Linked DNA regions of Arabidopsis thaliana. The protein of the gene in region 2 purifies or fractionates together with the protein of the main gene of each other region. This does not show direct contact. Each region holds a gene or a part of one and is shown on either strand. Other genes may lie near its edges. The genes, in order: CR88 and SGT1A.

What was found.
Region 1: the proteins of SGT1A (region 2) and CR88 purify together in Arabidopsis thaliana (affinity purification with western blotting, with the first as the bait; one study listed by BioGRID). This does not show direct contact.

Annotation. Positions count from the first base shown.
Region 1 is NC_003071.7:1,279,911-1,286,916, reverse strand, and holds CR88 (Chaperone protein htpG family protein), read right to left. Parts: upstream 5,164-7,006; 5' UTR 4,935-5,163; coding exon 4,683-4,934; intron 4,575-4,682; coding exon 4,501-4,574; intron 4,416-4,500; coding exon 4,290-4,415; intron 4,200-4,289; coding exon 4,106-4,199; intron 4,016-4,105; coding exon 3,932-4,015; intron 3,845-3,931; coding exon 3,701-3,844; intron 3,619-3,700; coding exon 3,502-3,618; intron 3,420-3,501; coding exon 3,384-3,419; intron 3,271-3,383; coding exon 3,190-3,270; intron 3,113-3,189; coding exon 3,008-3,112; intron 2,913-3,007; coding exon 2,772-2,912; intron 2,681-2,771; coding exon 2,588-2,680; intron 2,499-2,587; coding exon 2,421-2,498; intron 2,343-2,420; coding exon 2,088-2,342; intron 2,006-2,087; coding exon 1,903-2,005; intron 1,822-1,902; coding exon 1,647-1,821; intron 1,552-1,646; coding exon 1,446-1,551; intron 1,366-1,445; coding exon 1,276-1,365; intron 1,197-1,275; coding exon 1,008-1,196; 3' UTR 773-1,007; and 1 more. UniProt on the Arabidopsis thaliana protein: Molecular chaperone required for chloroplast biogenesis. Essential for chloroplast biogenesis and maintenance, and thus for embryogenesis. May be involved in the disassembly of VIPP1 for thylakoid membrane formation and/or maintenance.
Region 2 is NC_003075.7:12,298,102-12,303,500, forward strand, and holds SGT1A (phosphatase-like protein), read left to right. Parts: upstream 1-1,776; 5' UTR 1,777-1,913; coding exon 1,914-2,073; intron 2,074-2,648; coding exon 2,649-2,721; intron 2,722-2,908; coding exon 2,909-3,033; intron 3,034-3,181; coding exon 3,182-3,284; intron 3,285-3,358; coding exon 3,359-3,455; intron 3,456-3,537; coding exon 3,538-3,603; intron 3,604-3,696; coding exon 3,697-3,835; intron 3,836-3,928; coding exon 3,929-4,008; intron 4,009-4,092; coding exon 4,093-4,197; intron 4,198-4,284; coding exon 4,285-4,392; 3' UTR 4,393-4,618; downstream 4,619-5,399. UniProt on the Arabidopsis thaliana protein: Functions in R gene-mediated resistance, but participates in a lower extent than SGT1B to RPP5-mediated resistance. Not required for RPM1, RPS2, RPS4 and RPS5-mediated resistance.

The DNA.
Region 1 (7,006 bases), on a different chromosome or scaffold from region 2:
TACCGCGGGAGATTTTTTTATTTGTACAGTTGTCAAAATAGTATTAGAATTATATAATTTAGTTTAACTCGTGTTACGTCCAAATTAGTATTGTAATTATAAATTTAGATATGTCCAAGGTCATTAACAATTCCATTTTACTCATTCTCTATCAAATAAATACAAATTCTAACCCATTATTGCAGGTCGGTATTTGATTTAAATTTTGACCAAGAAATTTTCCATCAAATGATTGATTTGGAAATCATTTTGATTTGGAAAGTTTTAATGGACCGTTAAGATTATTAGTTTAAATAATATCCGGAAAATGTGTGATTGTACCATATTTTGATATATCGAATATTGATTTTTAAATATAATTTATTCCATATGCATAATTATGAATTATTGTAAATTCTAATCCGCTCCACTAATTAATTCGCGAGCTCTTAATATTGTTTGCCAACATAATATTTTTAATAAAAAATATGTAAAATTAATAACTATATTTTTGGTTTATTTTAGATTGATTTTTTATATTTAGTTTTTTTAAATCTTTGAAAAAACAATAAATAGGTGATAAGTATTGAATATAGTGTGTTTAAGAAATATTATTTAAATTTGAAATATAGTGTATTTAAGGAATATAGAGTGATGACCAAATTACCATAGACGATTTTGATTAATAATGTACAAAATCCAAAATTGAAAATTGATGGCAGATTAGACTATTTTTCAATTTGTATTTTCTTTTTAATAATAAGAGGATGTAAATTCAGAATATTTAATACAACTCAAATGCAAATATTTTTCAAATATTCGTAAATATTTTTGTTAAAAGCTTTTTTTGTGTAAATTCTCTAAAATTATTTTAATTATCAAAAAAAAACTACAAATACTGTATTGGATAAATCTCGTTCACGCGTGATTTAATTATGGGCTTTCATTAGGCCCATGATACTGCTAATGGAAAGATAAAGCGTTCTGTCAAAAAAAAATCACTGCAAACAAAAGAAGGTAAAAAAGGATCAATCTTGCCAAGGATCACTCTCTGCCCTCACTTCAGATGGTTCAACTACCTCTGTTTCTCCGCTTTTGTCATCTCCTTCATTCACAGTCGAGCTTTCTTCTTCTTCTTCAACTCTGCCCCATCTTCCTCCAACCGCCATTGCCATCATCTCATATATCTTGTTCCCGAGCTCGGCCGGGCTATCAGGCTGTACAACAAACACATATAAGTGAGTAAAATGGTCCAAGACTTTTACTGGGAAACAAGAAAGGTTTCAGATTTCTTACAGTGAATCCACTTGATATTATAGCAGTGTCATACAAGAGATCGACCACTCTTGTTGCTTCAGTGCTCTCTGGTGCATTCTTACAAGCAGCCTGTACCAAAAGAATACAAAAATTAATAAGGCTTTTTCGAGACAAGAGATTTCTGAGAGAATATTATACCACACACTTACGTTCAAGTCTTTGATGATGGGATGATCTGGATTGATCTCTAGTATTCTCCTACCTCTCATGAACTCCAGGCTTGAAGTGTCTCCAAGAGCCTGTGCCTTCATTAGCCTTTCACAATGAATAAGCACATAAGTCAATGAACAAGCACATAAGTTTTATGGTATGTGGATTTCAGGTTATAAAGCTTTTGCTGAAGTACTAACCTTTCCATATTAGCTGACCACCCGAATTTGCCAGAGACAAGCACACAAGGAGAAGAGCTCAAACGGTTTGAGACTTGGACTTTTGCAACTTTGTCACCGAGCTGCTGTTTTATCCAGTCACAGAGAAGGTTAAACTCTTGTTTCGCTTCCCTGTCCTTTACTTCATCTTCATCTCCTGCGAGAATGGACACGTTTTGTTACAAACAAATGGTTGAGAGAAATGTGCGGGCAGTCAGCAGTGCTAAACCATACTTACCGAGTTCCAAATCTTCTTTACTGATATCAACGAATTTCTTTTCTTTGTAGGTTTGCAAATTCTGAATAGCAACTTCATCGATTGGTTCAACCAAATATAGAACCTATAATTAACAAAAGCAAGTGGTGAGAAAGTCAAATCTAAACAGAAACTCGAAGTTGAAAAACAAGTCTTGAAGCATATACCTCGATATCTTTTTGGATTAGTTTCTCCAAGAAAGGGGCAGACTTGGCACTTTTAAGACTATCAGTTGCGAGGTAGTAGATCGCCTTTTGGTTCTCTCCCATGTTCTCGATATAATCATCCAAGCTTGTCAATTCCTCTTCATTCTTGGAACTGAAGAATCTAAGTAGCGGTGTGATACGCTTGTGGTTACCGGTGTCTTCAATACAACCCAATTTAAGGAATCTACCAAAGTTCTCCCAGAATTTCTTGTAATCCTAGAATTGTTTGTACAACATGAATATCCCTGGCTTTCAAATGAGCTCAAAACAAAATTAGGATAATGAGATACCTACCTCTTTGTTTTCACTCTCAGAGATTTCTTGTATCATGTCAAAGGTTTTTCTAATGAGCCTCTTTCTCATGATTCTTACCTGAACATTATCACGAAAGATAGTACAGTTACAATTTGTGATATTCATATATGATAAACATTTGTATCACTAACAGTTGCACCACTCACAATTCTGCTTTCTTGGAGAATTTCACGAGAAACATTAAGAGGAAGATCATCAGAGTCCACAACTCCCTTCACAAAGCTCAGATATCTCGGGAACTGCAAACAGATTAGGTAACATAGTCAGATAAAAATTGAACCACAAATCTAAAGAGATTTCTACATAAGAAAGAACCCATAAAAGACTCACAAGCTCTCCATCAAAATCGTCAGAGATAAACACACGCTTCACGTAGAGACGAATGTTCTTTGTTTTCGGGTTTGTAACATCTTCATTGTTAAGAGGACCCATCCCAGGGATGTACAAAATGCTCCTGAACTCAACCTCACCCTTTAATAATCAAGACAATACAGAGACTAGTAAGCACCAATTGAAGAATTCATAAATTGACATAAATATAGTGTATAGTGTATAAGTATAAAGACCTCAGTTGTGAAGTGTGTGTGAGCAAGTGGATCCAAGAACTCATTGAAAGCCTTTTTGTAGAACTCATTGTACTCTCCTTTTTCCACTTCCTTCGAATTGCGCATCTATTCAAAGACACAAAATAATCAGTAAACATGTTGAAAGAAAAGTACAAAACGCAGGCTAAAGCTCCAAGGCTTACCCATAGCGGTTTGGTCTCGTTGGCTAGTTCCCAATCCCAATACTTCTCAGTTTTAGTGGTCTTCTTTTTCTTTGGCTCACCCTGGAAACAAACAAGTAACAAAATCAACTCAGTAAACAAAATTCTAGAACAGTCTTTTGGTTGTGACTGTTTGATAGTTGATACACACAATTAAAACAACATAATTTTTTTACCTCTTCTCCTTCCTTAACTGGTTCGTCCTCTTCGACCTACCACAAGTTACAAATTTTAAACCATATTAGCAATGTGAATACACTAATATGATTACAAAAACAAAACTTTCATCCTCACCTCTATAGTCCTTGATTTCTCCTGCCATGTATAGATAGGAAACCCAACGAACTGAGAGTAATTCTTCACGAGGTTCTTGATCCTTGTAGACTCCGCAAATTCGTATTTATCATCCTCCTGCAGCCAGGAATAAGCAGTCAAACAAACTATAAGAGATCTGACGCATCAAATGAAAGGATGAATGAATAAAGAAAAGTACCCTCAGATACAAGGTGATTTGTGTTCCACGACGTAGAATGTTATCAGGGTCTGTTTCTTCTCTGATCAGATACGAGCTACTATCGGCAACCGATTCCCAAACATATTGCTTGTCAGATTTGGGGCTTTTGGTGGACACAACAACCTGAAAGCAAAGACAATTGTACGTCCATTCCTCGTAAGAAATACATTAACCAGAAGACACTAAAAAACAAAAGTTGAAAGTCTTCACCTTCTCAGCAACTAAGAAAGCAGAGTAAAACCCAACACCAAACTGTCCGATCAAACCGTTGTCAGCACCAAGGTCCTTGTTTTCCTGAATAAAGAGAGCAATAAAACAATGAGTCCGAAAACATGACATCAAAGATTTGCTAGCAACAGGTTTTCAAAGAGATGGAAAAAAAACCTTTAGAGCCTTCAAGAATTTCGAAGTACCACTTTGAGCAATAGTTCCAAGGCAATCAATAAGTTCTTCCTTTGTCATTCCAATACCAGTATCACTGCATATACGCATCAAACCTCTCTAAGTAAACCTGTTCTATTCAATTTTCAATACTTAAGTAAAACAAAAAATGAGAAGTCTCTCATACGTTATGGTGATGGTGCCGTTATCAGGATCAGGCTTAATCCTAATCTCAAGATCTCCACCATCTCCAAGCAAAGAAGGCTCTGTTACACTCAAGAACCTCAGCTTATCCAAAGCATCACTTGCATTACTGAACATACACAGACACATTCAAAATCAGATTTTGACAGAAACACACAAATCATTTCCAAAACAATCCATCAAAATTGACTCACCTTACAAGCTCCCTGAGAAACACCTCCTTGTGACTGTATAAGCTATGAACAATCAAATCCAACAATCTACTAACCTGTGATAAGATTTCAACAATCAAATCTTAAAACTTTATATCCCCATCAAGTTGAGAGATACCCAGAAAACAAGATTGAAACTTTAGGAGATATGAAAGAGAACCCACCTCAGCTTGGTACTCAAACTTCTCACCTGACCCTTCTTCAGTGGTCTCTTTCTCCGCCACGGCGGCGTCACACTTCACGGCGAATCGGTTACATCTCTTTTCGAGATTCCAGCTACACGAAACGCCGGTTCTTAAAGCGCCGCCGTGTGGGAGAAACGAGCTTCTCAGATGAGAGAGACGAGAAGAGACAGGAGTGATTGGAACTGAAGTCAAAGGAGATGTGTAGAGACTTCTACTCAAAGCAGGAGCCATTAGATTTGAAAGTTGTGAAGGAAAAGATTTGAGATTTTTTTACAATCTCTCAATCTCTAAAGAGAAAAGAGTTTGTAGTAGTTGAACAAAGAGTAACCTAAAAACCCTATTAAAGGTTTAAGGAGAGTGAGGTAAGAGAGGTTTCTAGAAGAAGAGCGTATAAAGAGAAGAGATGTTTAGAGATTGTGAGGTCTACGAGAAGCCATTTCATCAAAACCGTAGGATTATCCGTTTGATTTACACGCGCCTCTCCTTGAGAAATTGTAGCTGACACACACACACACACCAAATGCAAACCAAATTGAAAAAACACCTTATTGGGCCTACACGTTAACCCATAATGGGCCTATAGCCCGTATAAAGTAAAACGAAAGGTTATGGCTGGAAAATGTTTCGTATCAAATTGGCCCATATCAAGAAAGAGATCTTGAATATTTGTTTTTTTTTTTTTTTTTCGTAAATTATATATATGAAAGTTGGCCAACTCTCTTCATATGATAGACACATCATCACTTTAGCATTTGACATGTGTTTATTAAATAATTAATGTAATCTCTTCAATTTCAAATCTATAGTTTAATGATATATTTATATTTAATTTTACATATTATTTTATTATACATATTTAATTGTACTTTTACTAAATTTATTTTAATATCACATGATTTTTTAATAAAATCATTTTAATAGTTTTCTCATACTCGAAGATTTTTATGGTAATCCAAACTCAAAGTATGAGTATATTACTTAATAATTTAACTAAGTTATTCTCTTAAATTGATGTTTATATTCTCTTAAATTGATGTTTATATTCTCTTAAATTGATATTTATATAATAAATAACTGAGGGTGAAGAATATGTAAGGAGCTCCATCATTAAATTCTTAGGTTTATAGAATCCAACACTACCCTCTGTTAAATTGGTTTAAGATAAACATTGTTTAGAAATTATGTGTATGATGCATTGTTGAGAATGTGGTTAGAAAAAAATATTTTAATACTAAATGTAATTGCTTATTGCATGAGTAAATGATAAGATAAATAAAAATTATATTTAAATTAAACAATACAAAAACATCCGAAAAAACCGTGGTGTAGCGCGGATGATCACCTAATATTTCATAAAAATGAAAACATGATAGGTTTACAATCGATGATTTTCAACCTAAGCTAATGGTTCCATGGCAAAAAAAATAAAAACATGGAAGCATAAAAATAACCACATACATAGTGACATATACCAAGATAAAATGATATTAAAATTTTATTGATTTAGAAATTATGAGAAGGTGTGCACTAAATAAAATACAACAATGTTGATGCTAACGAAGATACACGATTGCTAATTATTGGAAATATCGAAACCATACGTTATAGACTCCATACCCATAACTAAATTAACCAAAACATATATAGTTACCAACTTCTCACTGTCCTCTACTTATTTTGCAACTTTTCCTTTTTTTATTACGACTATAATACAGTATGTGGGTATTGGGTATAACCTAAAAACAAAATATTTGCAATTTGGTCAAAAATTTGCAATTTCTTTTAAGAATAATAAAATGATGCAAATGATGTTTATTTGTCCTATTTTTGGATCCAAGGCAGGTATTTATGAATGGTCTACTGAACAAAAGTAATATCTGATGGAGAGCGGAAGCTAAATAACGGACGAAAACACAAAATCTCTATGAGAACTCGGATTAACGAACGGATTTTGTTTAGAACGCCGAAACTTGATGAAGAAGCAATAGAGATAAGGTCGAGATCGATAACGATATCGATGAGGTTTTGCAAATCCTCCTTGCAGGGCTTGAACACAAGCTTTTAGGGTTGAGAGTCCTCCTCTCTAGGCTTTAGACAAGCTCTCTTAAAACTCGTTTATTCAATAATCAAAAACTAATTACAATAATGAATTACATCTCTTAAAATAAGAGAAAAAGAATGGAAACCCTAGCCTAAAGAATAAGCAAACTAATATCAAATATTCAAAGCCCAAATATACATTAATTAAGTCCATATGAAACTAAACCCAAAAGTAAAGCAATAAACAATCTCCTCGGACGTGA
Region 2 (5,399 bases):
ACCTTGAGCAAAGAGTCTAGTGTATGTGTCTATATATGGTTCACCTTTTGGATAAGAAATCAATTTCAAGCTCATCTTTCTACATAGAGAGAAACTTGGATCTTGTACTTTTTAAGATGGAAACATCCATAAAAAGGTAAAGATAAAGCTGATATGGCAAAACGCCAACAAAATCCTACAAGTAAATAAATCTTGGGCCAACTTTAATGTTCCTAAAAGAAATGAACTTAGCTACAAAGTTACTAGTCACGTCTCTGCTGCCAAAATTCTTGACACATTCTTTACACTTCTTCGAACAAAGAGAATGGTTTGATCCACAAAGGATGCAATGCGCACCGCTTCCACAACATTTGATCTGTGGCATAAATCAATCTTGCACCATAAGGGCTTGAAACTTTCAGCTTTTGCCACTAACACTCTAACGCAAACTTGTGTTAGACTGCAACCAAATGAAATATTTGAGAAGCACCAGATCCATTAACAGCAACTATGAGCCCATTACAATGATTTGCCTCCATCAGTGTCTTGGATCGCTAACACTATCCAATAACCAGCCTAGCTGGTACTTAGACAGAATTTTTTTTTCTTCTGGATCTGTGAAAATAAATGTAACATGAGCCATTGACTAAGATCTAGCTCTAATTAACTCAGTCAAAACGACGATCAAAAGATTGAACTATTGGAAATGGAAGGGGCCGCGCGAACGCAGGCCCCCAAGGCAACAAATAATGACGCAGGATCTCCCACTTGGGGTGACCTTTGGCTTAGCGCACCTCAAGTGCAGGAAGCCACCAGCCTAGGCCACGGATCTTCATGATCACCCGTAAACCCCGTCCAGGTAAGTAATTTGCAATCCTCGACCATCTTCTTTATTTATACTATGCTACACACGAGTGCCCATCCTCAAACTTCCGATGAGGGAGCATCAACATTATCTCGTATCTACTATAGGCAGGCTTTCGTTGTTTGATTAGCCCAAGTTTTATTTCTTGATAGGCCGCAATGTCTATATTCCGGTCCAAATCAAACCCAACAGATTTTTTTTTTGTCGGCTATTTGTCACAGATTTCTTTTTATATACGAGGAACAAGGTTAATTATATTGAACTAAACATTAAAAAAAAAAAAGAATTTTACAGATGCAGGTTGATATTTAACGTTATTGTGGGTCAACTCAACTCATAAGCAAAGTTGATATGATACTATTTAAATTGACTTCACCACATCCACTTGACACTAATAAATTGACTTCTCCATCCCTATCCACACATATTTGAATCTTCCAATAAGGTTCCACGAAACTGCTAGGAAAACAATATTTTCTAAGGCAATAGTCCCACTTTGGTTAATCATAAAATTGTCAAATCCACTATGTAATTTGTGATCCATAATAAATTAAACCAGTTATTCATCATCTAAGTCAGACACTATTTTAACTCTAGAAAACTTGACAAAGTACATGAAATGTTTTTGAAGTGAAGTAACAAAATTCCAACATGTACAAAATATATATTTTTTTTTTTAAACGAAAATATATACACTAGAGACCTCACCTATTTTTCTTAATAATATCAAATCTCACATATTTGATGTACACACAAAATTAAATTTATAGAAAATGAAATATATTATTTTAGAAAAATAAGGAGAAACTTTGTGGAAAAAATAGAAAAATATTTAAATTATTGTTTTTATAAATTTTATTTTGGGTTCGAACTCTTCAACTCCCTGAACACAAGTCGCATAAAACGAAGGAACAATCTAGAAGAAGAACGATAACATCCAATCTCTCTTTATATTCCTTCCTTCCATTGTGGCAATAAGTAACAAACCTTGCCCTCTACTTCATTCCCTCCTTGTTTTGATTTCATCGTCTTTGTTAGCTCTCCTCTGTTTTTTTTTCTTAGTCAATCGATGGCGAAGGAGCTTGCTGATAAGGCTAAAGAGGCTTTCGTAGACGATGACTTCGATGTTGCTGTTGACTTGTACTCCAAAGCCATTGACTTGGATCCTAATTGCGCTGAGTTCTTCGCTGATCGTGCTCAGGCCTATATCAAACTCGAAAGCTTCACTGGTAGCTTCTTTGTTCTGTTATCTTCGTCTTTTACTGTCGTGGACGCCTTCTGGGGTTCTGGGTTTTTGTATGTTTTCGGTTTCTTACTTCATCATAGCTGAAAGTTGTTGACTTTGCTGGATTATGTGTATTTAGGGTTTCGTTTTGTGTCCTGTCGCTTGATAGTGTCACAATTCTTTTCGAAAGTTTAAAGCTTTCGTATCAATTTGATACTAATGTGTCTCTCTTTTGCTGTTTGTGGAGGAACAATGTATCGGAATTGCTTTCATGAGAAACGAAATTTAGTTATTTGTTATCAGTAGCGAGTGCCCTTTACAAGTTATGCATTCAAACATTGGTTTAAGTTGGTTTTAGCTGTGCTAGTCTTTTGATTCTTTGATTGTGAATATGGAGAATTTTGTTTACAGATAGTGTTAAGTATTAACGGAGTATTGAAAGTTTCAATTTTTGCTTGAGTGATTAGTCTTTAGTTCAACTATTTCTTGCTTTAAGAAAGTATTCTCTGCATTTTTAGCGTAGTATCATAGAACTTTACTAGTTGGATAAGATTTTGGTCTCATTTGATTCTCAATGAGCAGAGGCCGTGGCAGATGCGAACAAAGCAATTGAGTTGGATCCTTCATTGACCAAAGCTTACCTAAGAAAAGGGTAACGTTTTGCTATTTCCTCCTATGTAACATTTTTAAGTCGTATATAAGTTGTAGTGAGAGTTTAATTTTCTCTGATTCCTTAGTCCTTAGATTGTTTTACTACCAGTTTATATGGTCTGCAAATGTGGTATATATCTGTCAAGCTATTACTTCCATTGTTCATGGTTTGGTTTTTGTATTTGTAGAACTGCCTGTATGAAGCTTGAAGAGTATCGGACTGCTAAAACAGCTCTTGAAAAGGGTGCCTCTATCACGCCGAGTGAATCCAAATTTAAGAAGTTGATAGATGAATGCAATTTTCTAATCACAGGTATGTTTTTTGTGTTTTTTTCTTGTTTTCTGGTTGATTATGTTTACATGCCTAGAGTGATTGTATTGTTTGCCATGGTGCAAAATATTTTGTTATGTAATTCACCTAAGGTTTTGATCTATGGAACTTGTAAATATCCTTTTTCCAGAAGAAGAGAAAGATTTGGTTCAACCGGTGCCTTCGACTTTGCCTTCAAGTGTGACAGCACCACCAGTATCTGAACTTGATGTCACCCCTACAGCCAAGTACAGGTAGTTTTATTGTAGAAAACAATACCAAAGTTTTTAAGAATCATTAAATATCTGATATTCTTGAGTGTTAACAGGCACGAGTACTACCAAAAGCCAGAGGAAGTTGTGGTAACTGTTTTTGCAAAAGGAATACCCAAGCAGAATGTTAACATCGACTTTGGTGAACAAATTGTGAGTATAAGGCTCTTAAGAACCCAACTCAATGGCACTTCTGTGTGCTTGTGTGTTAATGGTATTGTTTTGTGTTTTGAAGCTGAGTGTTGTGATTGAGGTTCCTGGAGAGGATGCGTATTATCTCCAACCGAGATTGTTTGGAAAGGTAATTTATCTGTTGAATGAATTAATGTTGGTTTTTCTTTCAACACTCTGAGCTGAACATGTTACATGACTTTGTTTTACGGTGTATATTCAGATAATACCAGATAAGTGCAAATATGAAGTATTGTCGACCAAAATTGAGATCTGTCTTGCAAAAGCCGATATAATCACATGGGCCTCCCTCGAACACGGCAAAGGGCCAGCGGTTTTGCCAAAGCCTAATGTCTCATCAGGTTTTCTACCTTTTCCTTCTTCAGTGTCATCTGATGAGCTTAAACAACAGTCTCTTGTAATGTAAATCTTATGTTGTATGTATGATGATGCAGAGGTTTCACAGAGGCCAGCTTATCCATCTTCTAAGAAAGTTAAGGACTGGGACAAGCTGGAAGCTGAAGTGAAGAAGCAGGTCCGTCTCTTACCATGTACTTAAAACCTCGACCAAACGGTTTTGTTTTTTCTCTTCTTTTGTTTGATTGTGGTTGACTTGCAGGAAAAAGATGAGAAGCTGGAAGGAGACGCAGCTTTGAACAAATTCTTCCGGGAGATATACCAGAATGCGGATGAGGATATGAGGCGAGCGATGAGCAAATCATTTGTGAGTATCTCTTTTCATGGAGTACTGTAAAAGTTTTGTCCTTTTGATCGACTCATTTATGGTTTTCGGGTTTTGAACAATGAGCAGGTGGAATCGAATGGGACAGTGCTGTCAACAAACTGGCAAGAGGTTGGGACTAAGACAATCGAGAGTACTCCTCCGGATGGCATGGAGCTCAAGAAATGGGAGATCTGATCTGATATGATATGATGATCCTTTCCTTTTTATGCAGTTGTGAATTTTGCCTAAATGTAGACAAATCTTGAAACCTGGTCCCTTTCTTCCTGTAATGAGGATCCTAAGGTTTTTGCTTTTTTGTTAAATATGGCTTTCTACCTCTGCTATGTTGTGACTTGTGAGTTATATTGTCTTTAGGTCTCAACTTTTTTGTTTTTGTTTTTATTTGAGTATTCATAATTTCATCATGATCACTATTCTTTAGTTTTTGTTAAAACTTACTTAATTAGTCTACAAAACCAAATATATCCCAAGTATGGAGTTAAAAGTCAAAGAATTGAGTTAACCTCTCGATCGAGTTGTAAATTGTCACTTTAGAGTCGTCTCGATCGAGTTGTAAATTGTCACTTTAGAGTCGTTTTAAACTTAAGTATGGAGAAAGTGATTTTTTATTAAAGAGTTATACAATATTTGTAATTATGAAAGGAACTACGTTACCGACTTGGTGTTGTCCAATGGTATATTTTCTAGGTAGAGATGTTGGATTCGACATCTTTAGAGATATGTTTTCTTTAAAAGAAATGAATTTAACTTGTTGTAGATCCTGCTTCTCGAACATATAGAGCCTTCGAACTTAAACTTCCATATATTCCAAAGAAATAAAAAACCCACGTTATTTGTGTAAAATTTTTACATCTCACAACCTTTATTTTCCGATAAAATTGTGATTTTTTAATATATATTGACATGGAATATTCTTTTGATTATGCAGGTGATCAGAGCATCGAGTCAATAATCCTTAATGTTCAATAATCCAATCAGCCGCACGTAATAGGAGAAGAAATCTATTTGTTTTTAAGGCCGCCTATGATCTATATATATGAACTACCCACACCTGTTTTAACTAACAAAATCTAAAGTTTTCTCAACTAGCCAAAAAAAACCCTAAAAGGCTCTGATCCAATTTCATCCGTCAAAAATCTTATAATAAATGAACTATCTTAGGTTGACCAACGTATCTTCTT